Saccharomyces cerevisiae S288C: one gene and its partners. The gene in region 3 interacts genetically with the main gene of each other region. Each region holds a gene or a part of one and is shown on either strand. Other genes may lie near its edges.

Region 1 (8,129 bases), on a different chromosome or scaffold from region 3:
GTTTATAGGCCCCAGTATTGTAGCCTTACCATTTTGCCCAATAGACAGTGAAAATTTACCGAAACTGGAAGACCGGCCGTGAACCTTCATTGAAGACGATGACACAACAATTGAAGGTGATTGGTAATCCAATGAGGAGGGCGTTTGCATTGAAGGGGCTCTGATTGGCGAGAAGATAAGAGTGTGGCTAGATTGCGGTGTGGAGCTGAATCTCTGCTGTTGTTGCGGTGTTGTGTATACCATTGATTGGTTTAAAAACTGCTTCCTTGCTAAAATCTTTTGTAAAACGAAACCGATAAAGAAGAATAACAAACTACAAAGTAGAAGAATGAATACAGCTGTGCATGAATGTCATATTATGAAAATATTTCATTGCGTTAAATATAATTTCCAGGCCTTTTTTTGCACTTTAACGCGTTTCGCGTCAATTACCCAATTGAGTATAGAAAAAGAGGCAACTCAGGGAGATTATAGACATTTGATTATTTAATTACAGCTTGTTATAAAGGACGAATATCTGGCTTGGGTCCCAGGGGCGTAATTCCCAAGGGGTTGATCCTTGTGTGGGAACGCGTGTAGTGTAACTTGATATGGTCAAAATCTGTTGTGTACCTGAAGGCATCATAATTCCAGTATAAATTTCTTACCCACAAATGAATAAATGGATATCCGGCTCTAATAGAGGTAAAATTGCATTTGAAATGTTGGACGTACACAGGATCGAATCTTATGACGGTAGTATACAATCTAATGTCAGCTTCTGTTAATTGATCACCCACAGTGAAGAACTCACCCAAGATTTTTTGTCTATCTTCTTCACCGTATTTGGCCTTCAATTTGGAATATTTGTCACTCAGGATTTTCTCCACTTTGTCCAAATGTTCAAATACGTTGTTGACTTCACTTTCGTAAACTTCTGCTTTCTCTGCGAATCCGGTCTTGTATACACCATTGTTGATGCTGTCGTAAACCCAAGAATTGAAGTCATCGATCTGTGTTTTCAACTGAGCAGGAACAAGGTCCGTTTTCTTGTGATCGTCGTCGACAAATTCATCGAACGCACTAGAGTTCAAAATCCTTATAATTTCGCTACTTTCGTTGTTAACAATTGTTTGGGTTTCTAAGTCCCACAGGACTGGGACGGTGAACCTTGCCGAGTATTGAGGATCGCTCTTGTAATATAAGTCACTGATTCTCTTGTATCCATAGTGAGGCTCATTGGTAGCATCAACCATGAATCTTTGACTGTCATTCTTGATCTCGGCGAAGCTCTTGCTGGAATCCTCTTTAGCAGTTCTAATACCACCTGCAACATCGTGCCAATGTTCCAAAAAATCTTCACTGTCCTCCAATTGCTTTTCCATGTCCAAAAATCTCCATCCTTTCTCGTCAAGGTGCCAATGGACTACGCTACATCCTATAACAGAGGTTAATCCCTTCAAAGCCCTCGTAATTAGTGTTCTATGGGCCCATGGGCATGCAAGTGAAACATACAACCAATATCTTCCCTTTGCTGGCTTATAAATTGGGTGTTGCTTAGAGATTGTTTCTCTGAAGGACGAAACCTGTCTTTTGAAAGCTCCGTTTGTACCACTCGCCCACTGTTTCGACATTTCTTATTTATCTTGCGCAGGGTTTGGGTAAATTCTCGTAAGCACTGTAGTGATGGTAAGAGCAGCGTTACCTAATTAACTACCTTTATACAAGAAATGGAAAAGGGTTGAGAGGGGTTGGACGCTAAGACAAATAAATAGGGGTGTGAAATTTCAAGAGCTGACTAATATCTTAGTAACGGAGAACAACAGAGAACAGATGATAAAACTATATTGATACGTTCAAAAGGTCTTAGGACCGTCTGAAGAGGTGAAATAAAGATGGAAAAGTTTGCGTCACCAAGCCTTTTGCGTCGGTTTCCTCTGTAACACTTTTTAATTCAAAGTGTTAAAATCTCAACTGTATACCCTCTAATTTGCATAATAATGAAACTAAATGTAAAAAAAAAAAGGAAAGAAAATCACTCCATAATCAGGGTAATGAATCATTTTACAGTGTCATTTGCATGTTCATACACATACCCTTCTTGACAGAATGCAGGAAAAGCCTCAACTATTTATCGGACACATTCGCAAATGTCCATTGACGAGTAAAACGTTTCCGCGTCACTACATTCGTCACTACACAACTTTAAAATACCTTATTTTTTTAATTATGCGGAGTAAGTATCTTTGCAGAACTAGATGGTTGGATTGAGCAGTAGGCATCAGTGACTCGAATTGGTGCTCATTTTTATTTTAACGTACGATTTGTTCAGGCCTTGCTATGACAAGCTTCCTGACGAAATCATACTGCAAGATACATAGTCCCAGTCCATAAACTAGTAGAATGACAAAAAGAAACTCAGAACATACATAACACGATAGACAACGTATTCACGGTTTTGAACCCCACGTAGTATCCTTCTAAATGGCATTGCCTTTACCACATGAAAAACTAAGAGAAGAAAGCTCTCTGCACTAATCATTATAAACGACAGCGGACCCGGAAGCGAGTACCCGAATAGGCCGGGGAAGGAAAAGATAGAAAGGAATCTTTTTTTCTTCCCCCCGCTCTTTTTTTTTATGCTTTTTGGGGTTTTTCCGGCAACTTTCAACAGAAATGCCGTAGCCGGAAAAACCGAAAGCGGGGGACAGTGAAGCGTGAGAGGGGCGAGACAGGGGGAACTTGAATGGGGTATTTTGCTTTTGCTGCATTTTTTCCGCTGGTACCTCTATCTTTAGGCGACCGGAAAAATTCATTTTCTCATCTTTTTTTTTTTTTCGTTTCCGACTCGATACTCTTTACAAAGAAACCCCCGCGGGGAAATGTTAGATTTGAGCTTTTTCCGCCAGGAAAAGAAAAAACCTGGGGACATTAATCTTGTTTTTTCTTTCTTCTTTTGTCTTCCCTTGGATGACTGCAGAAAAAGTACAGTTACCGGGTCTTAGCAAAAACAAACATATATATATATATATATGAAAGCGTATGGTCAACACGGTTTTATAGGTTTTACTTTTTGCATTCAGTTCAACTTTGGCCCTTTCTCTTATCGCATTCAGATACTACACACAAGTGTTCATACACACACAAATAGATACATATACAGAAAATGACTAGTTTGGACGATACAATAATTTCGTACCAGAATATAATGTTACTGGATAACATGACCAACTACAACAAGCCTGCGATTGACTATTTCCATCATGAATTTAATGATGCAAGCTTGGAAATATCGGCTTCATGGACACTACTATTGAAGATGCGCAAACATAAACTACTTCGATTACCAAGTTGCTCTTCAGAGGACGTGCTAGATTACAACATGTACCTCGTTAGGCTACATCATTGCCTCTGGAGGCGTTGGTCCATAAATCACTATGGTTTACAGAACTCCAAATCCAATCCACTGTCCATCAACTGGAACAAAGAAACCGATGTAACGGTGTTGTACGGTCCAGATTTGACTAACATAGATAGTAATGAAAACGAAATATCGCCGGTCCAGAACCAAATTGACCAGAAACAAACAAAAAATCTAAAATCTGCTTTAAAGAAAAATACGGAATGCTGGGTAACCGAGGAGGTGGATGAGATTAACGCTTCTATAGAGAGCAATGACAACGCTTTGGTGAAATTAGAAGACATTTCATGCCCATCGTCTGTTGATTCTCACACGTCTTCCATTTTCGACCAGCATTCTACATGCACTAAAATTTCCTCCATAGATGAAGATTCTGAAGACCTTATGAACGAAAAGAAGGAACAATTCCCCAGGAAGTTGAAGTTTAACCAAGCCGTGATGAAGAGGGAGATCGACTCAAAGGGGACTATCCGCGAATCCCTCATCAACATAAACGATATCCAACATTCCCGCCACCATCGCCGTCACCATCGTCGCCATCATCACCATCACCATCAAAATAGTTCTCATTCTGATGAAACAATAAAAGAAGCTCATTATGAGTTCAGCAACTATACATTTGGCACTATGGAAGAAGACATTTTTTATAGGAACCAGGTTGTTTTTTAAAGGAGAGTTTGCTCTCTTCTGCATTTCCACATACACATTTGATGTTAATTTACATACGAGTATACTCTCGTACACAACATATATATATATATATATGTAATATATTCATAGCACTTACTTATTAATGAAGGCCATAAGCCAAACAACATCTCACCATTTTTCTTCAGGGTTTTCTTTAAACCTTAGGTAATCCTCTTTGTTGAAAAGCGAAATTTCGGTTTCATTCTCAATGCCATACTCGAACAGCTTTTTTTTGTCATTCTCTATGTCTAAAGTCCAGTCGTCATCGTGGTCAAAATTGATCACGAGATTAACCGTCTTGGAACCATGTGCGTGCGTGTATATCTTTAAAGTATCAAACTTAACATTACGGAATGGTCTGAATGAACCTTCATTTTGAATTTTGTTCAAAACGTCATTGAACAGGTCCTTTGCAGTTTTATCAGCAAGATCGTAATCGTGCAGCACTATGTTCTTGACGTTTCTATATGGGAAAGATTTTATTACTCGGATTGTAATAACGGAGTTCTTTAGTGGTCTGGCATTTGAGGTTAATGGCTCTTCCAAGTCATAATCATGAAAGGTTGTTGACATTTTCAGCCTTTTAGTTGAATTCATGAAATAATGCAACCAAACAAGAAAAAATTTGGGGGAGGTAGTCTACGCATTTCAGTTCTAACTTCCTTCCTTTTCTTTCACTATTAATTGAAACTTATTTTCATTTTTTTTCTTTAGCATTGAACGCCGAATCTAAAAAAGTAAAGAACTCCTCATAGGGGGCTCGAACCCCTGACATTTCGGTATCCTTGCTTAAGCAAATGCGCTTAAAAGCCGAACGCTCTACCAACTGAGCTAACAAGGATGAGTTCTTCGGAGGGCTAACTCATATAAATAACTAATAAAGGCGAAATAGTGGTCACCACCATCACACTACACCCATATCAACGACAAGAGTTTAATTTGACCGTGGAAATTTATTACTGCTGATTTGGGTTCTATGATAAATCCTCGTAACGTAGAGACTATGTTTTTATATGCGCATTAAGTGCCGGAAAACGTGAGAAATAGGCTTTCCGGAGCATCAAACCTGAGGTTTCATAAATTGTGTTCGTGAAGGATGCATTCCAGAGGGCCATCCATCCAGCATAAAAAGAGATCTACAAAGCAATTATGTGGTTTCGCCATTATCCGTAGGATGACCTAAAAAATGGTAATGATTCACGTGATCTAGAAACTTTAACGTGTTATATCATTCAAGGCGTAACTTATACGCGCGGGGTACCCTATCATATCTAACACACGTACCCTGGGTTAATGCCATGATCGTCTTTGATGTATCTCTAATGATCATTATTATTTTTTCTTTTGCTTTTAACATGAGTCAAAGCAATATTCTTATGTTATATAACTCACCCCATGTGCTCGTGGGCAGTGACGCACGCAACTTTTTCTCTTGCAAAAAATGGCATCGATGCTTTTCTGGGGAGGTGATATTAGAGGAGAAGAAGTCACAGAGTGCTCTTGGATCACGATCCCTCACTTGTACTTGTCCACTTATCAGCGCCGTCCAGTTACATTTGGAGAGATCTTTTTTTAGCCTGGCCTTCTTTGCTGTCATACTACTTTATATTCCGGGATAAAATATAAAGAAATATTAGTTAGGAAAAAATTAATAGGGAAGAAAGATCTAGAAGCAAACAGCAATGACTGCCGTCGCCTCTACTAGCGGGAAGCAAGATGCTGACCATAACCAGTCTATAGAGTGTCCAAGGTTTTCGCGTGGACAGAAAGAGATTTTGTTGGACCATGAGGATGCGAAGGGGAAGGATTCAATAATCAACTCCCCCGTGTCAGGGAGGCAATCAATAAGCCCTACTTTGTCGAATGCTACTACCACGACTACGAAATCTATTATGAATGCCACCGGCACCTCCGGCGCAGTAGTAAGTAATACTCCGGAGCCTGGTTTGAAGAGAGTCCCCGCCGTCACTTTCAGTGATCTAAAGCAACAGCAAAAGCAGGATAGTCTGACTCAGCTGAAGAACGACTCAGAAAGGACCAAGTCTCCAAATAGTAATCCTGCTCCTGTCTCAAATTCCATTCCTGGCAATCATGCAGTTATACCGAACCACACCAACACTTCAAGAACAACGCAATTATCTGGGTCTCCACTCGTCAACGAAATGAAAGATTATGATCCTAAGAAAAAAGACAGTGCTCTTAAAATAGTTGATACCATGAAGCCTGACAAAATCATGGCCACTTCAACGCCAATAAGTAGAGAAAATAATAAGGTAACCGCCAAAGCCCCCACCAGTATTACACTTCGAAAGGAAGATGCACAAGATCAAGCTAACAATGTTTCAGGCCAAATTAATGTGCGTTCTACCCCGGAAGAAACGCCAGTGAAGCAGTCCGTCATTCCTTCCATCATCCCCAAAAGAGAGAACTCCAAGAATTTGGATCCCAGACTACCTCAAGATGATGGAAAATTGCACGTGTTGTTTGGCGCTACAGGTTCGTTATCGGTATTTAAGATCAAGCCAATGATTAAAAAACTAGAAGAAATATATGGACGTGATAGAATAAGCATTCAAGTTATCCTCACTCAATCAGCAACACAGTTTTTCGAACAAAGATATACCAAGAAAATTATCAAATCTTCAGAAAAACTAAATAAAATGTCGCAGTACGAATCCACTCCGGCAACTCCAGTGACACCAACACCAGGACAATGCAACATGGCTCAAGTAGTCGAGTTACCCCCACATATTCAACTATGGACCGACCAAGATGAATGGGACGCATGGAAACAACGAACTGATCCTGTACTTCATATAGAACTACGTCGCTGGGCGGATATACTGGTAGTAGCTCCATTAACTGCAAACACATTATCAAAAATTGCTTTGGGCCTGTGCGACAATCTTCTGACAAGTGTCATTAGAGCTTGGAATCCGAGTTATCCCATTCTTTTGGCACCTTCTATGGTGAGTAGCACTTTTAATTCTATGATGACAAAGAAGCAACTACAAACGATAAAGGAGGAAATGTCCTGGGTCACTGTTTTCAAGCCGTCTGAGAAAGTTATGGATATAAATGGTGATATTGGTCTCGGGGGTATGATGGACTGGAATGAGATTGTTAACAAAATCGTTATGAAATTGGGTGGGTACCCAAAAAATAACGAGGAAGAGGACGATGATGAGGATGAGGAAGAAGACGACGACGAAGAAGAAGATACAGAAGATAAGAACGAAAACAACAACGATGATGATGACGATGACGACGATGACGACGACGACGACGACGACGACGACGACGACGACGACGATGATGACGAGGACGAGGACGAAGCAGAAACCCCAGGTATAATAGATAAGCATCAATAAATAGTCTATGAATTACAAATACACTAAACACATTCTACTTATTTGTGTTTTGTAATTTCTGGAAAAATACTCATTAGGCAAATTCACGCAGCATATTTACAAAATGTCACAAATTTTTTTCCTTTTTTACTTGCAGTAGGTATGTAATGCCATACTAGCGTACATAGAGCTCTTCATATAAACCGCTATTTATTACTAATTTTAATAATTCAGTAATTCATTAAATACATTCATTACTTTCTGGGTAAATATCTATTCGTTTCTCATTTTTCTTTTTTTGACATATCCCGGTACCGGAATAAGTCCGATACTATTCAAAAGCTTCTGGAAAAAAAAAATAAAAAAAAGAAATGATTAGTAATCATTTAATTTCATGACATATTAAAAAGGTATTCTAAGCAGAAGTCTTTCATCACATTTGATCTAAGCATATACACTGTAAGTGAAGGTATCGATGTCACAATACAAAACTGGTTTACTTTTAATACATCCGGCGGTGACTACAACGCCAGAGCTAGTAGAGAACACTAAGGCTCAAGCTGCATCAAAGAAAGTCAAGTTCGTGGACCAGTTTTTAATCAATAAACTAAATGATGGGTCCATAACTTTGGAAAACGCAAAATATGAAACAGTACACTATTTGACGCCAGAAGCCCAGACTGATATTA
Region 2 (7,626 bases), on a different chromosome or scaffold from region 3:
ACTAGAGTCTAGAATAGAGCTGAAAAATATTCCCGAGAAATTCAAAAATGGAATTTTTTAATGGACTTGGTCAAGATGAATAGTTGAGACTGAGAAAATATTCAAGACACTATGTATGTAGTCAATTAGCATGTAGTAAGTAATCAAAGCACTTAAAATATATTTTTACCATCGCATCGTTGTGATGCCTCTCCTTTGTGATTAACTATCTACTTTAAACGTTCTATTTTCTATGTTCTAATTACGTATGTATTGGTCTTTTCTCTCCGATGGTAACAAGAAGCGTTTCGGGAAACAGTGGCACCTCCTTGTCCCTTAAATGTCGAACTTTAACAGTATAAGTACAAAGTGAAAAAAAAAAAAAAATGGAAATATCTATGATAGTGATATGATAGAAGAGCTATTTGAATGCTATGTTGTCATATTTAGCCTTACAAAAGGGAAAAGGCAAACACAGTCTTTTGTTATTACTATAGGAAAGATAGAATTGATATTAAAACAGTATGAAGTTATTGCATTTATATGAAGCGAGCTTGAAGAGAAGGCCCAAAACTACGAATGCGATAATGACAGGTGCGCTATTTGGAATTGGTGATGTTTCTGCTCAATTGTTGTTTCCAACATCCAAAGTAAACAAGGGTTATGATTATAAAAGGACAGCTAGGGCTGTCATCTATGGTTCTTTAATTTTCTCCTTTATAGGTGACAAGTGGTACAAGATCTTGAACAACAAGATTTATATGCGTAACAGACCTCAGTACCACTGGTCTAATATGGTTTTACGGGTAGCTGTCGATCAATTGGCGTTTGCGCCGCTAGGTTTGCCATTTTATTTCACCTGTATGTCCATCATGGAAGGTAGATCATTTGACGTAGCTAAGTTGAAAATAAAAGAGCAATGGTGGCCTACACTTTTGACTAATTGGGCAGTTTGGCCACTTTTCCAAGCGATTAACTTTTCTGTTGTTCCTTTACAACATAGGTTACTAGCTGTTAATGTCGTTGCAATATTTTGGAACACTTACTTATCTTATAAAAACTCAAAGGTTATGGAGAAAGACAAGGTACCTGTTCATTATCCACCCGTGGTCGAATAACTGGATAAGAAATCCTGATTTTGAAAATATTTGGAATTCAACTAGCATATTTATCAGACCTTGTTCCTTGGGGTACTGGAACAGCATATACCTAATAGACTTTCGGCAGAGAGCAGACCAACTTCATAAATATTTGAGTCACCAAAGTTGGCTAGCAATCTGCTTTTCCTTTACAGATGTGCTTGGTCAGGAACAATTTATTTAATTACATTCGTACTTCTTTTATAGAGGAAATAGTAGCTAACATTTCACTATTGCGGTCATGCCTGTTGTTCTTCAGCTACCGTTTATGCAAAGGTGTTTAATTAGGTGTGAGACTTAAGTGGGCCTTTTAGTACCACTGTGGGTTCTGGACCTTTATATAATATTTCATTTTTTCAAAGGTTTTTTCATATGCCGTTAAAAGAGGTCAAAACATAGACCCGAGGAACATATCTTGTAAATCGCTGCGTTATGTATGCATATTGTACTCCTACCTTCGTAACTGGAAAGAATCAGTCTGAAAGTTTATTGAGCCTGAAACGGAGCAAGATTATAGTTGAATGTTTCTTATTCGGTGTTGATAGTAGATGATGACCAAAGCTTTTTTTAACAAACTACCGTTTGAGGTATTCCGTCGGTACGTTAGGACAGGTAAAAGCATCCCTCAAAGAAGCCCCAGGACAAGAAAATCTCTTCTGGTGGGTGGGACTATTGCATCAGCAGTAGTTTTGTACAACTTTAATGACACTTTTCATGATTCTGTAAAGCACACGGCACTGACGACTAAAAGAATCGCTGTCGTCACACAAGCTACCACTCGTTGCTTCTACCATTACAAGAGGGCTCTAAATAAAAGCTATGAGAACAAAAAAGAACGAGAAGTTGCCTTAAATAAATGTCATAAGATGTGTGCCTTAATCACGTTGCATGCGCTACGATCGAATGGTGGGATATATATCAAATTAGGCCAGCACATTGGGGCCATGACCTACCTGTTGCCTAAAGAATGGACGGATACAATGATACCGTTGCAAGACCACTGTCCCGAATCCACCTACGAAGAAATTGATGAGTTATTTAAAGAAGATCTAGGCACCAGCATTGAGGATATGTTTTTAGAATTCAACAAAACCCCGATAGGTGTAGCTTCCTTGGCACAGGTTCATGTGGCAAAACTAAAAAATAGTGACGGTAAAGGTTCTAGTGTAGCTGTCAAATGTCAGCATCCATCGTTGAAGGAGTTTATACCATTAGATGTTATGCTGACAAGAACAGTGTTTGAACTGCTGGATGTCTTCTTCCCTGATTATCCGTTAACGTGGCTTGGTGATGAGCTTCAGTCTTCAATCTACGTGGAACTGAATTTTACCAAAGAAGCTGAAAATGCAGAAAAAACCCGTCATTATTTTAGTAAGTTCAAGAAGCAAACAGCATTGAAAATACCCAAGGTCATTGAAAGCCACAAAAGAATTTTGATTATGGAATATGTTGGAGGCAAAAGGTTGGATGATTTGGAGTACATTGACAGTCACGGTATCTCGCGCAGTGAAGTTTCGAGTTGTCTCTCTCATATTTTCAATAACATGATTTTTACTCCCAATGTAGGTATTCATTGTGATCCTCATGGAGGAAATCTGGCCATACGATCTGTTAAGCCCGCTAAAGATAATGGATACCATAACTTTGAAATTGTTTTATTTGACCACGGACTCTATAGATATCCTAGCACGAGAACAAGAAGACTTTATGCCAAATTTTGGTTGTCGCTCCTATTCGACAAGGACCAGACAAAAATGAAGAAGTATGCCAAAGGATTCGCAAACATCACCGACGAACAGTTTCCCCTTTTAGCGGCTGCAATTACGGGCCGTAGCATTGATGCTGCTTTGAATTACGACATTTCAACGAGTCGAACACAAGAAGAAATGGACGTCATGGCAAATGGGATCTTGGAAGGAACGTTACTGAGCGACTTGATGAGCATTTTGTCTAGAATCCCTCGTGTAGTGCTTTTGATATTGAAGACTAACGACCTAACCAGACATCTTGATGAATGTCTACAGAATCCACTCGGGCCAGAGAGGACTTTCCTGATCATGACGCAATACTGCGCCAAGACGGTCTACGACGAAAAAGTGGAAAGAATTAATTCGGAGTATGCGAGGTGGTCTATTAAATGGATGTGGGAGAACTTGACAAACTGGATAGTCTATGAGAGGCGTATTAATCAATTGTATTTTTATGATTTTGTGTTGTGGTGGAAAAAATTTATTCCGAAGACTTGGTTGTCATCTTAAATCGTTAGCGTTCTTTCTACTTGTAAATATATACGTAAAATTATATATAACAATTTTATATGTGTCATTAAACGGAAGACGTTGTTGCTATCACAGTGGATTGTGTTATTTGGGTATTTGGAATATTACAGTGACTTCTTGCAGCGTTGTTAGTTTTTGCCATGTTCTGCAAGTACAAGGTTGAAGATGTGGTCGAGACTTTGATAGTATCCTTAAACAACTTCATTTTTTTATTTTGACTGGGTAACGACCTGGTGTTCCTTCTAGTCTCACCGCTAGTGGCTTCTTCTTTGCTGACTCTTAACTTTTGCAGCGCCTCTTTGGTGTCGAGTAACTCGTGTTCCAGTAGAACGTTGCGTTCCAGTCGTCGGTCACTCTCCAATTGTAATGTCTCTATCTTATTCCTCAGTTGGATATTTTCATTTTCCAACTCATCTACCTGTATCTCTAAATCTGTTATCTGTTTCTTATTGCACTTATTTTGTTGTTGGCTCTCAAGAAGATCGCTTTTTAACTTTGATATTACTTGTTCCAAATCATTTTCATATTCTTTCGTGGCGCCTTCAAGCTCGCTCAACTGGGTCTCCAGTGAGGAGATTATCTGTATAGCTGTTTCCAAATCCAAATTCGGCACCATAGGAAAGTCGCAATTGTTGCACGTATATGTCCCTTGGATATTCCAATTAAATTTGCGAGGATTGTTCTTTCGGCCGTTCGTGGTTTGTTGTAGCCCTTATTATCCCTCTTTTTCATCCTTAATTGCAAATTTATGTATGAAAACTTTCATTTCTAATGTTATTAATTTTCCCGATTCTGCAAACTAATTGATAAAATAATTGATACTTGCCGTCACAGATGATATAGAGAACGTTCAGTTTTTTTATTGTTCTATTGTAAAAAAAAAAAAAAAAGGAAGAAAAAAGCAAGATCCGATAGGAGAAGACCTCTTTAGCGGCTTTACTGCGCTACAAATAAGGTTACGAATATGCGGAATAGTTCATGATACGTTGTTGAGTTATAGTATGTAGCCAATATTTCCTGTTTTTCCGCTGTTACCCTTTTCGAAGGATCGATGAACGCTTCTGTCACTTAGTAAGCAAATGTACGAAACCCAGAGCATTGTATGTACACCAGCAGTCGTTTTTTGTAGCTCTTTTCCATGGATGGACGATGATGGCAAGACGCGATCGTGGCGGAGCCTCACTAAGAAAAACAATTGTGGAGAATCTATACACACAGAAATCGTACTTCAAGAAATATTGATTAGCGAGCCTTTAAGCACAGAACAATCTCTATAGCCAACATCTTGTGGAAGCTACAACTGTTTTTCTTGTTCCCGCTTGAGTAGGGCCTTACAAGGCAAGACCGTATAAAATAAAGATAACTCCTCCGCCGTATCCTGAATTTCGTGTGCCCTTTCTCTCTCTCTCTCTTCCTCTTTCTTCCTTTCCCTTTCCCTCTTCTTCTTATCTCAACAACCGCCCAGCGCATTAGCAAACCACAGTACGAGCTGTACGGCTGAGCCACTGCACCTGTCTGGCTTGCCCCTTTTTGTTGAGTAACCGGGTAATAATTCGGCTGTCTAAACGATACAATCCTCGTTCCACCCACACCCATTCACCCGTCGGGCGAAATCCACCCTCGCGGCCTCGTTTAGAATACCAGGCAACGGCACCAGCAACGGCCCCGGTAACTCGATCGCGTTCATATATATCGGATATACTCTTGAGGCACAATTTTTTTCGGTTTTCGGTTTTTTCTATTATTCTTCGAGATGCAAAGCACACATTTGAGACTCACAACTCAAGATACCGCAAGCACACAGACGCTATTGTTCTCCCAAAGAATAGGTTCCTGCAGTGCTCTTTTAAGGTTTGAAGATATTGCACAAAATTGTATCTGATTTCATCTCATCGAACCTCATTCCATCAACTTCCTTTTATCAAAGCATCTTGTTTTGTTTTCGCAGAAAATTTTTCTTCCCTTTCAATTTGGCCTTTTAGTTTTTCTCCAGTCGCAGGCAAGAAGGTAAGGAAATAGAAGAAAAAGAAAAAAAAAAAAAGGGAACAATAGGTTAGATGTCGAATACCCCTTATAATTCATCTGTGCCTTCCATTGCATCCATGACCCAGTCTTCGGTCTCAAGAAGTCCTAACATGCATACAGCAACTACGCCCGGTGCCAACACCAGCTCTAACTCTCCACCCTTGCACATGTCTTCAGATTCGTCCAAGATCAAGAGGAAGCGTAACAGAATTCCGCTCAGTTGCACCATTTGTCGGAAAAGGAAAGTCAAATGTGACAAACTCAGACCACACTGCCAGCAGTGCACTAAAACTGGGGTAGCCCATCTCTGCCACTACATGGAACAGACCTGGGCAGAAGAGGCAGAGAAAGAATTGCTGAAGGACAACGAATTAAAGAAGCTTAGGGAGCGCGTAAAATCTTTAGAAAAGACTCTTTCTAAGGTGCACTCTTCTCCTTCGTCTAACTCCTTGAAAAGTTACAACACTCCCGAGAGCAGCAACCTGTTTATGGGTAGCGATGAACACACCACCCTTGTTAATGCAAATACAGGCTCTGCTTCCTCTGCCTCGCATATGCATCAGCAACAACAGCAACAGCAGCAACAGGAACAACAACAAGACTTTTCCAGAAGTGCGAACGCCAACGCGAATTCCTCGTCCCTTTCTATCTCAAATAAATATGACAACGATGAGCTGGACTTAACTAAGGACTTTGATCTTTTGCATATCAAAAGTAACGGAACCATCCACTTAGGTGCCACCCACTGGTTGTCTATCATGAAAGGTGACCCGTACCTAAAACTTTTGTGGGGTCATATCTTCGCTATGAGGGAAAAGTTAAATGAATGGTACTACCAAAAAAATTCGTACTCTAAGCTGAAGTCAAGCAAATGTCCCATCAATCACGCGCAAGCGCCGCCTTCTGCCGCTGCCGCCGCTACCAGAAAATGTCCTGTTGATCACTCCGCGTTTTCGTCTGGCATGGTGGCCCCAAAGGAGGAGACTCCTCTTCCTAGGAAATGTCCAGTTGACCACACCATGTTCTCTTCGGGAATGATTCCTCCCAGAGAGGACACTTCGTCCCAGAAGAGGTGTCCCGTTGACCACACCATGTATTCCGCAGGAATGATGCCGCCCAAGGACGAGACACCTTCCCCATTTTCCACTAAAGCTATGATAGACCATAACAAGCATACAATGAATCCGCCTCAGTCAAAATGTCCTGTGGACCATAGAAACTATATGAAGGATTATCCCTCTGACATGGCAAATTCTTCTTCGAACCCGGCAAGTCGTTGCCCCATTGACCATTCAAGCATGAAAAATACAGCGGCCTTACCAGCTTCAACGCACAATACCATCCCACACCACCAACCACAGTCCGGATCTCATGCTCGTTCGCATCCCGCACAAAGCAGGAAACATGATTCCTACATGACAGAATCTGAAGTCCTCGCAACACTTTGTGAGATGTTGCCACCAAAGCGCGTCATCGCATTATTCATCGAGAAATTCTTCAAACATTTATACCCTGCCATTCCAATCTTAGATGAACAGAATTTCAAAAATCACGTGAATCAAATGCTTTCGTTGTCTTCGATGAATCCCACAGTTAACAACTTTGGTATGAGCATGCCATCTTCATCTACACTAGAGAACCAACCCATAACACAAATCAATCTTCCAAAACTTTCCGATTCTTGTAACTTAGGTATTCTGATAATAATCTTGAGATTGACATGGCTATCCATACCTTCTAATTCCTGCGAAGTCGACCTGGGAGAAGAAAGTGGCTCATTTTTAGTGCCCAACGAATCTAGCAATATGTCTGCATCTGCATTGACCTCGATGGCTAAAGAAGAATCACTTCTGCTAAAGCATGAGACACCGGTCGAGGCACTGGAGCTATGTCAAAAATACTTGATTAAATTCGATGAACTTTCTAGTATTTCCAATAACAACGTTAATTTAACCACGGTGCAGTTTGCCATTTTTTACAACTTCTATATGAAAAGTGCCTCTAATGATTTGACTACCTTGACAAATACCAACAACACTGGCATGGCCAATCCTGGTCACGATTCCGAGTCTCACCAGATCCTATTGTCCAATATTACTCAAATGGCCTTTAGTTGTGGGTTACACAGAGACCCTGATAATTTTCCTCAATTAAACGCTACCATTCCAGCAACCAGCCAGGACGTGTCTAACAACGGGAGCAAA
Region 3 (8,535 bases):
AAGAAATGTTTGCTGCAATTGCCTCAGGAAATCCATTGCAACTATCGGTAGAAGTCCCCAATTCAAATGGGTTACAGCATACAATTGTCCTTTCTCGAACGAAACCGAAACTATACTCGCATATAACACTGTTTATATTACCTAATGTTACCTTTCCTCAGGATTATATAGCTACAGTCTATTTCAAACTTAGCCCTCAGGAAGAATTTAAACTATTTGGGTACCTAAGCAGTGAGAAACCCAGTGCCATATTCAAAGTGCAAATACCGAGCTCGAAGAAAGACGCTGGAGATACAAGTGATGGATTAGGTGAGATAGACATGGATGTAGATGATGGTTCGGGGGCCGCTGATCCGTTTACTGACACCAATGGAAGTAGCAGTAATAACATATCAGAATTGATTATTGGTATTTCCATTGAGCCTCGAGAACAAGGAATGATGAAATTAGAAGAGTGGAAGGCCAGCATGAATGCCGAAGCACAAAAGAACAACTCATTGATCTTGTCAAGACCTAACTTAGGAATAATTCGAAATATTACCACGGCAGGGCAGTTGGCACAAGTTTACCCTTCATTGACACAAGAATTGGCCGCCAAAATCGTTCAGCATGCATATAACTATTTATCAGGGTTCCTAGATGCTCAGGGAAACGTGCCCATCAAGAGGTTTGATACATGGTGGGACAAATTTAGAAATAGACTGGCCAACGACGGGACGTTTTTGGATGAAGTAACTAAAAATTAGACACGGATATATAATATATCTCTAATAAGATTCACGAAATATTAATTGAAAAAAATATTATTAATATTAAACTATATATGCAATGACAGTGAAATCAGAGTTCATCTCTGAAATTTTTTATTCTATGAGCCATGGGGTTGCCAAAGATCAAGTGTCTGCTGTCGATAAGTTTCTTATCAAATGAGTCTTGTTCAGTATCTCTCTCTTGGAGCCCATTGTCCAAGTTAGATTGCCTGGCTTTACATTGTTGCGCTAACCAATTCAAAAACCCTTTGTTGATCGTGATGTCACTTTTGAAAATTTTCTTCAAGTTGTAAAGGGTGTCAAAAAACGTTCTTGTATGTAGTTCATCTATACTTTTGTTCTGGACCATCTCTTGGAACTCGTTTGCCCACTCTTGCAGATTTGACGACCAATTCTCAGCATTTCTTTTGAACAAAATTAGATTTGTATCGTCATTTTCGTACATGTCGGCCTTCAAAATTTTGCTGATCAACTCCAGGACTTTTATTTGTAACTGTTTGTCCTTGTTGTTTCTTTCATATACATTTTGTAAAACAACCGTAGAGTATATAGGAAGATCTTCGGATGTGACAGGTAATTCGTTTAAAATGGACAAGTATCTTTTTATTAGGATATTAGAGGATCTGTGGTTAGAATCATTCAAATTTGACAGAGCGGCCATGATTTTGCTTTTAAAATTTGGAAAACTTTCATTAATGAACTCGACTACAGGAGGATTGTTTCTCAAGCAGCTGGTAATGACTCTAGTACTGAGCTCTCTCAATGTTAACGGCAAATTTTCATTGAGACTAAGGTTGGCCAAGAGGGCGAATTCATGGGTAATAATTTTGTAGCCGTGCTTGTAATCATGCGCAAATTCCATTATTCTATCAAAACTATCCTCCAATCTGGCAATGTCCTGTGAAGATAAAGTCGGGTTAGAATCTATGATGTTTCTCATTTCTTTGAAATCACTGGAAAATTCATAGTCACCAGGCGATGCTTTCATGTCTTCTGAAGATACAATTAACTCATGGCTACCATTATCACCGACATTCTTCTCATCATTTAGTTTTGCCTCTTTTAAACCTGTGTCCATGTTTATTCTAATGTCCAAACCACCGGGGAGTTCTTGACCTGGCAGTATGGGCTGCCAATCGTGTCTTGGTTCAAATATCTTAGGATAGCAACGATTATCAACGCAGATCGAATTCCCTGAAATTTCAAGTTCTTTAAGATCTTCTGCAGATATGATTTCGCCTCCAGATGGCACTGAGTGTATGGATGAATGCAATATTGTACTCGCCACTAATTTCGAAGATAGGGCGCTCAAAATTATGGGAAGAATCCGGACCATTCTAAGTTTGCGTTCTTGGAAGTGATATTCAATATCGAGAACTTCCAGCGATGCGAAAACTAGTCTATTATAGTTGCTAATGTGTGCTCTATCATTTACGTGGCCTTTTCACATAGTCTGGTCTTTCTTAATTATCACAATTCCGTTACCCGAAATCTAATCTCGTGTTTAGCTTCGATCTGCGGACGTTACTTCTAACGTCCAGAACACTTCACCCGCTATTTACGTTTTGATCTAGTTGCGGCCTCCAAACCTGCAGATGAATCGTTCATTACATTCTTGCTGCCACTAGTTGGCCGCTGCGTATACAACAAGAAATATACTATGCATTTATGTAACGCGCTTTAGTCAGTAGCCTCAGTAATGCCTTTTCTAAGGTCAGTATGTCAATATCTCTCGGGTGAACCCCAACATTGTTGTTCTTTCTTCGTTGTTTCTCTCTCTTATCATCTTCTGTGTCTTTGCTTTCTTTTGTTCACAATTTCTCGAGAAAAAAAACTCCGCAGGAAATTTTTCACTTTTATTTTGCTTATACTATAAATAGGAAGGTCCCTGAACTGATTTGTTGACAGTGTTGCATTTCGTATATAAAAGTAAACAGTGGGCTGTAACAAACATATTATATATCACTCGCTACACACACAGCTCTAAATAGCTATGTTACTACGTTCTCTTACAAGTGCCTTCGTTTTAAGTGCTGGTTTGGCTCAGGCTGCTAGCAGCAGTAACAGTTCCACACCATCCATTGAAATTAAAGGCAATGCATTTTTTAATTCGGAATCAGGTGAAAGGTTTTATATCCGTGGTGTTGATTACCAGCCTGGTGGTTCTTCTAACTTGACTGATCCCTTAGCAGACGCATCTGTCTGTGACAGAGACGTCCCCGTTCTGAAAGATCTAGGGATAAATACTGTCAGAGTTTATACTGTGGATAACTCGCAAGATCATTCCCATTGTATGAAACTATTGCAGGAGAACGGTATATACTTGATCCTGGATGTCAATACCCCCACGAGTGCTATTTCTCGTTACGATCCAGCCTGCTCCTATAACGCTGACTACTTACAAAATGTCTTTGCCACCATTGATACCTTTGCTGATTACGACAATGTTCTAGGTTTTTTCGCTGGTAACGAGGTCATCAATAGTGTTAATACTACCAACACTGCTACTTATGTCAAGGCAGTGGTCAGGGACATGAAGAAATACATCAAGGCTAGAAAATACAGACAAATTCCGGTAGGTTACTCGGCTGCTGATATCGTCGCTAACAGACAATTGGCTGCTGAATACTTTAACTGTGGTGATGAAGCTGACGCTAGAATCGACATGTTTGGTGTTAATGACTATTCTTGGTGTGGTGAATCTTCATTTGTGGTATCGGGTTATTCCACCAAGATGAAGCTATATCAAGATTACTCCGTTCCTGTCTTCTTAAGTGAATTTGGTTGTAACCAAGTCAAGAGCTCTCGTCCATTCACAGAAATTGAAGCTATCTATTCCACTCAAATGTCTTCTGTATTCTCCGGTGGGCTAGTCTACGAATATTCCAATGAAACTAACAATTACGGGCTCGTTCAAATTGATGGTGACAAGGTCACTAAATTGACAGATTTTGAAAACTTGAAAAATGAATACAGCAAAGTATCCAACCCAGAAGGCAATGGTGGTTACAGTACTTCCAACAACTATTCTACATGTCCTGATTATGAAAAGGGTGTCTGGGAAGCTAATAACACTTTGCCTGCTATGCCAAGTGCTGCTTCTGCTTACTTCACATCTGGAGCAGGTTCTCCTATGGGAACCGGAATCGCCACCCAACAAAGTTGTGATGCTAAGGACGATGACGACGAAGAAGACGACGACACCTCCTCTTCATCCTCTTCTTCCTCTTCATCTTCATCTTCCGCTTCTTCATCTTCTGAATCATCATCCTCGACTTCAAAGGCATCTTCCTCCTCCCCTTCTGCTAGCGAAACGAGCTTGCTAAAATCTGCCGCATCTGCTACTTCGTCCAGCCAATCGTCCTCGAAATCAAAGGGTGCTGCCGGAATTATTGAGATTCCTTTGATATTCCGTGCTTTGGCAGAACTTTATAACTTGGTTTTATGAGTTTTCACCCCCGTTCTTTACCACATTGTTTCTAATTATTCCGTTAGCGCCGCTTACTTTTAATGTTCTTAAGATAAAAAAACATCATTAATATTATTATTAAAAAATTCATATATATACCTATATCTATATGCACTATTTATGCTTCCACTTTTCTTTTCTTTCTAAATACATCATTCCAAGACGTTTTTGTCCATCTTATGTAATGCATCCTTGATGCTTTGCAATTCTACTTTCTGTCCACGAACGTGCAATCCAGATGCAATGTTCTCTAACGCTGATGAGATCGAAGTTGAATCCTCAGGATTTAGTTGTTCTTGGATACTTTTATTTTTTTGCATATGTTGACGGATTTTTTGATATGTGTAACTGATCGGCAGATACCTCTTTGCATCGGAAGCCGCATTCATTTGTGCATTCTTGCAGGAACATATTTCGGGTAGCTTGATTGAATTGTAATTTACGTCAGTTTGTTGTTCATTTAGATCCGGTGACAACGCACTGTTGGAAGAGAAAGAGCTTGAACTACATTTATTCGAAAGTGATTGACAAAAATTCCTACTATGGGGGTCTGATCTACATTGCTTGCAGCTTCCAGGTATCCATGACCCATCCTCTTTAGTGATCGGTCTATTCTCGCTATCGTAGATTTCTTTGTCTCCACAGCATTTCGATATTGATTTCTTAGCATCGGATTCTATTTTCTTTTCTGAACAGCAAACGGGGACTAAGGATGGCATTATGTTATTCTTTTGGTTGCAACATGTTACTGGTTTCATGGCATCTTTATTCCTACAACATTTTATTTTTTTGTTGCCACTGCCTGCACATGCATTGATACTGCTGCTGCATGAAGACAGAGGTGAATTAATATGGCCATCAAGCGATGAATTCGTTGAACTAAACTGTCTGCCGCTCAGATATTGATAATCGTTGGCTATATCAATCTCAGACAAAGACTGGTCTGTTAATACCGCGGGCACATGAGATGTTAACAATGGGCCTTCAGCTTTCCTTTTTTTAAACTGACAGCGCCGATTGGTTTAAAGTTTTCTACCATTTCTAATATCGAAATAGGATTGTCTGGCGGGTTTTCTGGCTGCTGTTGAAATGGAGTATTAACAATCAAAGGCAAGGCTTTTTGCAATTCGTTGTTTAATGCTATTGATTTTTGCAAGTTTTCCTTTGTATCGGAAAACTCAGATTCCAGCAGTTTATATTTCCTTTGCCAATCATCGACCAAATTGTGTAGCATCTCAACCTTCTCTTCCAGAACCTGGATTCTTGTTGTTCTGCGTTCCCTATATGCTCTTTGCGCATCTCTATTTTGCCTCCTTCGCTTTTCCACGCTATCGACACCGTTTTCATCACCACTTCCGTTGCCTTCATCATCAGATTTCCCCTCATGACCTTTTGCGCCTTCGTTCTCATGATCTTTTGTGGTCATTTGGTCTTTCTGGTTGGAAGTTTGAACCTTCTTTATCTTGGACGATCCATCATTATTAGCTGATGCATCCCCGCGCTTGGATTTCGGTTTGCGGCCCGGTTTTAGGCGCTGTGGTAACTCCCAATTCTTGGATAACTTAATAGCTGACGGTCCTGATGTACTCACATTTCCATCTGGTGAGGATGGAGGTGGAGACGTCGTAGACATGGAACCCTGTTTATGCCCCAATTTGAAGCCTTTGGGCTTTACGCTAACTGCTACTACAGACCTTCGTTGTCTCATGATCCATTGAAAGTGTGCGTAAATGACAAAATTTTGTGCCTTTCTATATTCTTTAATTGATGATTTACTTCCTTGATAACGGCTCAACAAACGAAGAGCAATTTTCAAATTTCAAAAGAAAAAACCGTTGAAACTGTTCTTGAGCAACTTTCAAGCCTCTTATGATGATGTGCTACAGATTGAAGTACAGGTGAAAAGAGGAATAACCAATAGCCTTGTTTGCTTTCTACGGTGGGGCAGCGGATTTTCTCTTTTATGCTTATGCTTCTTCTTCCATATATTACTAATTTTTCTCGAGCGAGCAGCTTTACTGCGTGCATTACCGATGAAAAAAATCGCCGATATATGAAAATCCAGCTCATAAGATGCTGATTAAGGAGTCATGAGTGAAAGGACCCTCGTGGCCATCACAAAAAAGACACTTTGCTCCTGTATAAAAAAAAAAATAAGGCGGTAGTTTAGATAGGGTGTCTATTATATACATGCATAATAATTTAGTTTTGAAGGGTCGCTGGTTTTGCCGTGACGTACGCTTCTCTTTGATCTTTTGCCATTGTTGTCAGAGAAAAGAGAACCGATTGACTTTTTTTTTTTAGTTTTTTTTAGTTTTTTTCTTAGGCTTTGATCTAATATCAATCTTTCTTAATGACAAAAGTCTTCGCAGCTTGATCGGCCGGAATGGGAGGTACAGATTTTGCTTCTTCCTCTTCATCTAGGTTGATATCATCTGGCACATGCTCTCTCGAAGCTCTTTGCTTAGCTTCCTCTTCCTCCTTCTTTATTAGTTCTTCTTGCTCCTTCAAAACGTTCAATTTGAACTCGTTATCGTCGGATGTCTTCTTTTCTTCAGCTTCCGTGGCTTCCGCAGAGTCGGTAGGCTCTGCGTTCTCTTTTTCCTGAGATATTTCCTCTGTCTTCGCTGTTTCTGCCTTTTCATTAACTACGACTAGTTTAGGAGTAACCGCAGAAGCGGTGGTAGCTATAACAGACTCTTTTGCGGTGGCTTCTTCCTTCGGTATAGCAGTTTCCTCGGGTTTTTCTTCCGTCTTTATCTTCTTTTCAGCAACTTGCTTTTCAGCTTCAGTTTCAGCAGCGGATGATTTCGATTCAGATACATCTAGTTTTGCGACGTTGTAAACGGGATCTGGAATGGAACTTAGCACTTGTAATATACCGTCGTAGTACAGATCCAAAAGGTCGTCATATTTGCTTTTTGTTTCTTTTTTTTCAGCTAGTGGCGAGAATGCCTTTGAATAGTTCTCCTTTGGAAGTCCTCCAAACGTGAACGTGGAACTCAAAACCATCAAGACGGATGGGATTTTTTGTCTCAGTCTCAATTCTAGCCAAACTTTTAGATTATCGACCAAGTCCTCCTTGGATACACCGTACGCTTTCATACCACGAGACACACAAGCTTGATACAGCTCTTCTTGCGATAAACTTTCAACGCCTTCGTAGTCAATAGTTTTATCGTCGTTCATTATATCCTTTAGTTTGGAACGAATTTGGTAACGAAGCATGTTATCGTTACCAAATGGCCTTAGTGACATAAACTTCGACATTGCTGCCAATTGTGGTCTTGACAAGTTATCCAAAACGCTATCGTTTTTGAACATTTGCGCAATGGCGCTTATTTCATCGTGTTGGAAAGTCATAATCTTACCTTCCTTGGCAGAATAAAGCTTCCGGAAAAAATTCAAAAATTTTTGCTTCTTCTCTGCATTTTCAATGGTGTTGTAAGTGATCAAATTGGATTCTTCCAAAGTCTCATGCAAGAATTCGGATGTCTTTTTTCTGATCTCGATGAGCTTATTTCTCTTGGCTTGCTTATCCTTGCCGGATTCGTAAGTGGAGGGTAGTAAGTTGGGGAAGAGTTTCAAAGCGAAAGGCAAAAATAGTTCGGCGAATGGAATAATAAGGAACGCTGAAAAAGGGATCAACCTAAACACATCGCCCATTGTCCTCCTCAATTGGTTCCTCTCTCTTCTAGACAACTCGTAACCCTGAGCAAATTTAATCAAAAGCTTAGTAGAAACTTTGATTTCGTAACCCAAAAGTTTCGTCCCATTAGCATAATGTTTCAAGGCGTGCTTCACTTTGACCATAAGCGTCTCCTTGGGCTTGGCAGGAGCATCGGTGGATGTTGGAGCTACGGGCTTCGTAACACTTTTCGACTTATCAGTAGAATAAAATCTCAAAGATAAAGGATAGTTGGGCTGTACTCCTTGCGCTCTCAAAGGCCAATGACACGAGGGAATAGTGGAAGCTATTAATCTAGGGCCTTGATTTTTAACAAAATACAAGCTTGCTTGACGTCTTGTCACACATGACGCTCTTGATGCGAAATTCAACATCTTAGTATATTATCTGTAGTGATAGAGATAGCGTATATTATGCGCTGCCTGAAATGCACTGCGCTGTTCATATTCATCACCGTGGCAATGACTGATCCATTTATTTGGAGATGATTCAACGAATAATTTTTCACCGCGGGATTATCGCCCAAGACGGGGTCGTTTGAGGGTAATACCGTGGCTAGCTTTATGGCTTGTGAAACTATTGCCAGTTATGTGGTTACGTATAATCTA
Region 4 (8,200 bases), on a different chromosome or scaffold from region 3:
AATCCGCATCCTTTGAAGAGTTGAAGTTTTGCGAATCCGAGGAATCGGAGCTATAAAGATAAAGGTTAAACCTCTGAGCTTTATTCGCAACTGATAGGCCGTTATAAAACTTGAATACCGGAGATATGTTAATAACTCCGGCAGCTAAGCCCTTTTTTACGTGGTCAATCTTATTCTCAGTCGATGAATTAAATGGAGAAAATGGGGAATGTGAACTTGACTCTTCGGTAGATATATTGTAAGATGAAATTTCCGGAGCAGTTTCTGTTGTAATTGCTATTGTTTCCTTCAGCACTACTACTAAGTATACTTTATTTTTATGGACTATCGTTTCCAAAATATTCTTGAATAACATTGCAGGAATTTCATCTAGAGCTGATTCCATATTGGACGACTTCGTCATGGTAAAAGACTCTGTTAAAACTTCGTCTTTGGTTCTCAAGTATACACAAATAGAAAGATCTTGATATTTAGGATCTGATATAGAGGGATCCCATGCCAGATCTTTCAAGTTAACCAAAATGCTCGATCTAACTGTGCCGAATAGTCCGTTAGATGAGGACTCATCATCGGACTCTACCACAGGTACAGTAGGAAAATTATTAGTTAAACCACAAAGCATTGACGATGACACTAAAGTTCTTAATTTGTCGATCTCGTATGAGAGCAATTCGCCAGTATCAATATCCCTGGCAAAAATTCCTTCGAAACCATAAGGATCTGGGTTTCTTGGAGTAGAGTTAGCAATTAGTTTATTCTTCCTGTATGTGGAGGACAAAAATTTTGCGATTTTAGTTCTTAGGGATGTTGCTGCTCTTATCAGATTTATTTTCTCAGCCTCTGTGGTTAAATTCATAGACAATCTAAATCGTATAGTGTCCAAATCATAATAAAGTTTTATCATTTTCCTATATATAGAAAACTCGCCAATTGAATACATAGAGTAAACATGCGAGGAAATAAGAGATAATATAGGACCCATTTCGTCCTTAAAGGACCTCTTTTGGTATCTGAAAAAGGGGAACGGAGGTCTCGGTGTCTTTCTTGGTTTACCAGTTGATATATCATCAGTAGAGCTAACATATAGGCTGTCACAAAAGGAGCGGGACTCACATTCTTTACTTATCAATGGTTTAAAATCCTCAGCACTAGGTGCTTTGAAAAATGGCATTGTGCTGACGGCTTTTTCTGCTTCAAAATGAACATATTTTCTAGGAAATATCACTACTTTCGGTTTCACGTCTGGCAGTACATCATTCGCCGAGTTCATATTCGATATGAATTCTTCAGGAAAGGGTCGTAAACATTGGTACGCTCTACACCATTTCTTATCCACAGATTCTTCGAAGACGTAAACTTCTGCACCCACATAAACGTTCGCATAATTGCTGTTTTCATATACCAGCTCAGGATACCTTTGTAAGGGAAGGAAAGATTTGACTAGCACACCATATATTAGCCGATCCGTGGGCAGCCAGCGCTGTGAATCCTGTTGCGACATTGTAATAGTAATCTCCCTAAAGAAAAAAAGACCCCTGTTTTATATGACTAATCTTCGGTCCTCTATAATTTCAATTGAAGCAATAATTGACTGAGTGGTGTACAAACGGTTGCTTGAACCATTTATATTATTTTCAACTCATCAAGTCATCCCCTCCTTGATATGCGTTATTGATATATTTCAGTTAAAATTCCTCCGTATTTCGTGATATATTATTCGCGAGGTGGCGAAAGCTTTGCTACTAAATACTCTACTATGACCAGTAGATTAGGTTCTATAAGGGTGCCAGAAAACTACCTAAGTGCTGGTTGACTTATAAATTTTAAAAGAGTGTTGATGAGTATGAGTTCAACTGTAATTAAATTCAGGGCTGGTGTTTGTGAATACAACGAAGATTCACGTCTATGTACGCCAATTCCAGTTCAGGGTGAAATCGAGATCAAACCAAATGAAGAGGAAGAATTGGGATTTTGGGATTTCGAGTGGCGTCCAACGGAAAAGCCGGTCGGGAGGGAACTTGATCCTATTTCTTTGATTTTAATTCCTGGAGAGACCATGTGGGTTCCAATAAAATCCAGTAAAAGTGGCAGAATATTTGCTTTAGTTTTTTCATCCAACGAAAGGTACTTCTTTTGGCTGCAAGAGAAGAACTCAGGTAATTTGCCCTTAAATGAATTGAGTGCGAAAGATAAAGAAATTTACAATAAGATGATTGGAGTGCTGAATAATAGTAGTGAAAGTGATGAGGAAGAAAGCAATGACGAAAAGCAAAAAGCTCAAGATGTGGATGTTAGTATGCAAGATTAAATCAAGGTTGTGGCATTTTTTGATAAAAAACTGAAGAGAAAAAATATACCATATCAACGCATTTGGCTGTGAACTTCTGTAAAGAGATACGGACCATAACAATAGGCATGATGATGGCATCTATAACTTCTATTGGAAGGTAAGTTTATTTTTCCCATAAATATGTATATATGGTCTATACTCTCAAATGAGCCTACATATTGTTGCATATTAACGAGGTTCCCATCTCACCGACCAACTTAGTTTATCACCTGCTTTAAATGGGATGATGCTTATGTCTTTGCCATCGCTGATAACCTGAGGGATAACTTGTTCTTTTTTGAATAATATTGCCTTATCTGAAGAAGCCACTTCGCTATCTTTAACCTCATAAAAGGAAATTCCGAAGTCGGAAACAAAGCCCTTTAAGTTCTCCAAGGCATTTTGCTCTTCAAAAACTTGGGCGATATAAGGGATCGCAAAAGATTGTGAGTAAACTCCTGCGCAAACACCCTCGTAATTGGCCTTATTTTGTACAGGATGAGGTGCTGAATCAGATCCAAAGAAAAAATATGGTTTCCCTGATACAGCAGCTTTGACTAGAGCCTTTTTGTCATTTGGAAGTTTCGCAACAGGTTTGCAAAAATTTACCGGATTTCCGGCCCAATCATCAATTGTTAAAAATAAGTGATGAGCCGTTAATGTGGCAGCAACCTTTACGTCAGTGGCTTTCTTCACGTTCTTATTTATATCCTCGATTGTCTTTATTGCCGACTCGCTAGTGCAGTGTTCCAGAATTATTTTCAGGTTTGGGAAATCATTATGCAATTTTTTCAAGGCTGGCAAAAAGGCTTCCTCTGCATTCAATACATGAATAGGTTCTTTGTCTCCATCATGGACAGAAGGTTTTTCCCCATGCAAATTTAATACCAGGTTCTCTTCTTGCATAGCCTTGAAAATTGGGTAAAATGCGCTGAAGTCATTTGGATCCACCCCAGCAGCCGAATTTGTTGTTACTCCCGCTGGATAACACTTTACTCCACGAATGGCATGTTGTTGGGCAGCTTCATGAATTAAATCTGGAGTTAAGTCTTTTGAAAGATAAAAACTCATTAAGAAGGTAGTTTTAGGAGCTAGTTTCTGCAGTGTCTTTTTGTATTCAATCACTCTATCTAGTGTGGTAATTGGAGGTTGTAAATTTGGCATGATGTAAGCAATTGAAACCCCACCATCTCTAATCTTGGGGGTGACTAGTTCACACATCGCACCCTCTCTTACATGAACATGCATATCACATGTCAAACCTAAATCGATTTCTTGTACCATTGCTTTGTTAGGTATTACTTAAGTGATATAGTGGTCACCAGAACACTTTCAAAGTATATCCTATCTTTCAAATGTGTTTATCTCTTCTTATATAGCTTCTCTGACGATGCCGATTCATCGGAATTCTCCGAATGATGAAATTTGACTCTGTAGATACTATTCTTGAAAAAATTAGAGCTGATGCCGAAAGACAACTAAACTAGCATCGGTTTCAAGAAAAAATACGCGAGAGGCAGCATGACATGAGTGAATTGTGGGATAATTGTTGAGATTCTATTTTTTTGTAAAGCTATAATATTAGGCATACAAAACATATTAGAAGTTCTCAACGAGGACATGGGAATTCGCAGGAAGAAATCGATATTTCTATGTTATAATATTAGTGTTTCTTCTTTCATTTCAAACGATACCATTCATTTTGTAATTGCATAATTAATCCCTGCATTTCAGCTCCCATTAAATTGGCTAATCCCTAGTGTTGTTCTATTAGTCTCATGATTTATGTCTTTTCTTAACGGTGTATAGTAATTTTCTAGCAACGAAAATGATGTTGGTAAACAATTGTACTAGTATTTGATAAATTTTTCAGAGGCTTACCAACATTAATGAGATATAAACAGATGTATATTGCAGAATAAAAAAGATGTAGCAATATGCATGCGTAAAGATTAATCAAGTTAAACTGGATGGTGTTCGTATCCTGTATTTCCTTGTTGTTGTATTATCGACGGAGGGTTGGCCGAGTGGTCTAAGGCGGCAGACTTAAGATCTGTTGGACGGTTGTCCGCGCGAGTTCGAACCTCGCATCCTTCAGTATTTTTTTTTTATTTTGACGGCGCCACAAAATTTTTAAAATATGGCAAAGACAATGTGCTATGTAGTTTACGGGATTCTAGCCCTGATTCAGCAAAGAGAAAAACACGCAGTCGCAATAATCTCTTAGATTTTTGTTAGTGTTTTATACTTTGACACTTCTATATGTTAAAAAAATTCCTTTTCGAAAATGAAGATGATAATTATTATACAGGGACTACAGTAGGAACTGATTACTATTGTTCGGAAGCTATAATTTTTTCAACAATTTTTAGAGTTTTATCAGCACCAGAATTATCAATTTGAGATTTTTTAGCATAATCGGGACTTTCTAACTTTTTCCTTATGGCCTCATCAAGTTGTGTTCTCAGTTCCTTGATTAAAACACCATTCTTACACCAGGTTCTAATTGGGAGCCAGTTGTCGACAACGATGCCCGGTGAATGAATAGTACCTCCAATGTCATAAGAGATTGCCCCTCCGAATAATAGTAATGATAATGTAGTAGTTGGGGTTAAGTCCCTCAAATACAACTTATTAGTAACTTGAGACGTGGTAAACAAAACAAATGGGTATTTTACAACGGTTGGTATTTTGGATTGACGGGATATTGGACCATCCACCTCAGAGAGTAACTTAGCGTCTTCCAAGTTTACTGAATTGGTTGAAAATAAGACTGAACTTGGATGAATGAATGCCCTAGTAGCAGGTAACGGTAAATCTTCCAAATCAACCTTTTGCGTCTCTTGCGAAATTTTCGTCTTATATTCTTCTAATTTGTCCTGATACTCTTCGCTTCGAATCCAGTATTTGATCATTTTGGCTTCAGGATCTTTTTCAACAGCACCGGAACTTGTTGATAGATACTTTACATCTGGTAGTTGCACCCTGGCTATGTGTGGATAAAACGCACCCGTGAGAATGGCCCTTAGGATATCAAAATTTCGCTCGTTCCTATTCAAATCAGAAATGCTTCCAACTTTATAGTCCATTGGTAGAAAGCCTACATCTTTCAAAATAGAATAATATTGGGCTGTTGATGACTTAATTTCATTAATTTTATTATAGGAAAGTAAATTGTCTCTCAAATATTTCCTTTTGATGCTCGAATCTTTGATTTTGAAGTAATCTCTGACAATTTCCAATACTGCAAATAAATCCCCACGACTTTCATATTTACATAGCAGTTTTTTTATCTTTTCCCTATTTTCAAAACCTCCGATGAAAGGCAAAACTCCAATACCGAGTATCGAGACAAGTAAAACAGAAATGTCCGTACAGCCAAACAGAATGCCGTATATTAGTAATTTACCATGCTTACTATCCATGACAGGCATCAGGCTAATAAATTGACCTAGCTGTGTGAGTGACTTGTCGGACTCATCAACAAGTCCTATCGTTGTTAATATTCTTTCTGCCTTTTGCAGAGCTGGTAAAGGAGGGGCATCCAAAGCTGTGCTCAAAAACGCTTTAACGTCCTTTATACCCATAGCCTTAACAGATAAATAAAGGGATTCCAACGGGATTCTTTTGATTTCTGGAATTGGCATTGATATCATGTCGTTTTCGTATAAATTTTTAGAAAATAATTTGTAAGATAAACCTTCACGTACTCTACCAGCACGACCTCTACGTTGTTTAACTTCAGCTTTTGAAATAAACGACTCAATTAGTTTTGTAGTATTATCCTTTGGATTATAGAACATCGATTTGGCACGGCCTGTGTCAATAGTTGCAACACAGTCATCTATAGTAATAGATGTTTCAGCAATATTTGTGGATACAACAACTTTCCTTTTCCCATGATATTTTTTGAACACCCTTTTTTGGTCTTCAGGAGTTAGAGCGGAGTGCAAGGGTAGAACCATAAAATCTGCTTCATTTGATTTATTAGCTAGCAAATTGCAGCACTTATTAATCTCTCCCACACCAGGCAAAAAAACGATAATAGATCCGTTGTCATTAGCAGCTTTCAGGCGTTTATGTACATATTCAACCACTTGACAAAGCAAATCATAATTGATTTGCCCAGATGTAAAAAACTTAGAATCTGCTCTCGGCTTCAAATATTGGTCGTCATTATTTCTTTCATCAACGCTATCATCATCATAAGACAAAGCCTTCTCTCTCTTGATCTTGAAGTCAAGGTCACTAAGAATGTCTTCCAAGAAGTAATCAGTGATGGGGAAAGTGCGTCCTTCTATGTGACATGTTGCTAGCCCCGGAAAGAATTTTTTGAACAAGTCAACGTTAACAGTAGCACTCATTAAAACAATTTTCATGCCGCGAACTCTATGTAAGAGATTTTTCATCAATGTCACTATCAAGTCAGTATCAATAGAACGTTCATGAACTTCATCAATAACAACAATTGTGTTTTCTAACATAGTTCTAGCATTCTGTAACAACCTAACAAGAACACCTGTGGTCATGAACTTGATACGTGTGGAAGCTTTGGTTTTATTGACACCTCTTATTACGTAACCTACCTCTTCCCCACAAGTTACACAGCGTTCATCAGAAACACGTTCAGCAAGCCCAATAGCCGAGATTCTTCTGGGTTGCGTACATACGATTTTAGTCTTACCGAAATCTCCTTTTTCCTTCTGTAAGAAATCTAGTATAAACTGAACGACCTGAGTGGATTTACCCGAACCTGTTTCACCAGTAATCAATACAACTTCGTTTTTATTGATGATATCTATAATAACCTTTTGCTTCTTCCAGGCAGGCAGTTGTTCTCTAACTAACTGCATACTTTTGTATTCAGAACTTTTGATCCTTTTTGTGTACTCTTCCCTTAGGACAGAGAGCGTGTCTTCAGAAATGGTGGTTTTTGTGAATTTTCTCGAACTAGAATTATTTATACTTCTCTTACCGTTTGAAATGTTTCTTTTGTTTATTGCACCTTTCGAATCTGAATCTGGAATTAATGGGCCAGGGTTGTCAATTATCTTAGATATATTCTCTTTCAACCATTCATAAATATGATATACTAACATATCGCCTATTAGATTTCCTTCCTGGAGATAATGCAGTAACCTGGTTAATATTTGTTTCTTAATATAATCAGGTAGCTTGTAATTTTTATCAAAGGTTGAAACTACAATACCAGGTAATGATGCAGGATAATTTTTGGTTCTATATACTTTCAATTTTATTTTGAGTTTTTCAATTAAATTGAGCGTGTAGTGTGAATCTTCCTTGGCGTCCATCACGCAGCCCTCATAAATGCTCTCTAGGCTCTCTAGCTCTTGGTTCCAACATTCTATAGATTCAGTTTCTGATACAGGTTCATTCGTATTGCTATTTAAAGTTGGTAAAATTTCCCTCGTCAAGAACCCGGCCGCTTCATTTTCATTCATATCGTTTTGTTGTAAAGCCAATAAGGCTTCATCTGAAGAGACACCAATTTCTGTTAAACGCTCAACGATCATTCTAGTTGATAACGGTAGGTTTGTTATTTCAACCTTGTTTTTTGTATCACCTTTCTTTTTATGAAAAAATGGTGGTAAATCATCTTCCGGTAAGTTAAACAATAAGAAAGACAATGGATCTTTATAAAGCATGGCTTCCTCTACGTGTTTTGGTCTAAATTGTAGAGTTAATAATTTTGCCTTGAGATCTTCCCGATTTTCAGCAATTGTCTCATTTTTATGGCTAATTTTTTTAGCTTGCCAATCAATTTTCTCTTTCAATGAAGTTTCTATCAGTTGTCTAGACGATTCATCAAGGTCAACAAATATAGAATTTTCCCAAACCTTTTTTGGAAAC

What was found.
Region 1: mutations in GAS5 (region 3) and ECM4 together harm fitness more than expected from each alone (negative genetic interaction), as found in Saccharomyces cerevisiae (one large-scale study listed by BioGRID).
Region 2: mutations in GAS5 (region 3) and NDL1 together harm fitness more than expected from each alone (negative genetic interaction), as found in Saccharomyces cerevisiae (one large-scale study listed by BioGRID).
Region 4: mutations in GAS5 (region 3) and URA4 together harm fitness more than expected from each alone (negative genetic interaction), as found in Saccharomyces cerevisiae (one large-scale study listed by BioGRID).

The regions. Positions count from the first base shown.
Region 1 is NC_001143.9:575,767-583,895, reverse strand, and holds ECM4 (S-glutathionyl-(chloro)hydroquinone reductase), read right to left. Parts: upstream 1,614-8,129; coding exon 501-1,613; downstream 1-500. Other genes in the region: MSA2 (Msa2p), read right to left, coding at 1-243; YKR075C (uncharacterized protein), read left to right, coding at 3,146-4,069; AIM29 (Aim29p), read right to left, coding at 4,220-4,687; YKR073C (uncharacterized protein), read left to right, coding at 5,389-5,709; phosphopantothenoylcysteine decarboxylase complex subunit SIS2, read left to right, coding at 5,773-7,461; electron carrier DRE2, read left to right, coding at 7,916-8,129. UniProt on the Saccharomyces cerevisiae protein: Active as '1-Cys' thiol transferase against beta-hydroxyethyl disulfide (HED), as dehydroascorbate reductase and as dimethylarsinic acid reductase, while not active against the standard GST substrate 1-chloro-2,4-dinitrobenzene (CDNB).
Region 2 is NC_001144.5:640,961-648,586, forward strand, and holds NDL1 (Ndl1p), read right to left. Parts: upstream 4,014-7,626; coding exon 3,444-4,013; downstream 1-3,443. Other genes in the region: nucleobindin SSP120, read left to right, coding at 1-61; SYM1 (ethanol metabolism protein), read left to right, coding at 504-1,097; CQD2 (Cqd2p), read left to right, coding at 1,667-3,376; YLR255C (uncharacterized protein), read right to left, coding at 4,640-4,993; HAP1 (Hap1p), read left to right, coding at 5,455-7,626. UniProt on the Saccharomyces cerevisiae protein: Required for nuclear migration to the bud neck during cell division.
Region 3 is NC_001147.6:265,424-273,958, forward strand, and holds GAS5 (1,3-beta-glucanosyltransferase), read left to right. Parts: upstream 1-2,763; coding exon 2,764-4,218; downstream 4,219-8,535. Other genes in the region: OPI10 (Opi10p), read left to right, coding at 6-746; SIL1 (Sil1p), read right to left, coding at 841-2,106; YOL029C (uncharacterized protein), read right to left, coding at 4,392-4,997; YAP7 (Yap7p), read right to left, coding at 5,210-5,947; ribosome-binding protein MDM38, read right to left, coding at 6,580-8,301. UniProt on the Saccharomyces cerevisiae protein: Splits internally a 1,3-beta-glucan molecule and transfers the newly generated reducing end (the donor) to the non-reducing end of another 1,3-beta-glucan molecule (the acceptor) forming a 1,3-beta linkage, resulting in the elongation of 1,3-beta-glucan chains in the cell wall.
Region 4 is NC_001144.5:959,198-967,397, reverse strand, and holds URA4 (dihydroorotase), read right to left. Parts: upstream 3,614-8,200; coding exon 2,519-3,613; downstream 1-2,518. Other genes in the region: guanine nucleotide exchange factor DCK1, read right to left, coding at 1-1,501; proteasome regulatory particle lid subunit RPN13, read left to right, coding at 1,838-2,308; YLR419W (RNA helicase), read right to left, coding at 4,663-8,200. UniProt on the Saccharomyces cerevisiae protein: Catalyzes the conversion of ureidosuccinic acid (USA) to dihydroorotate, the third step of the de novo pyrimidine biosynthetic pathway.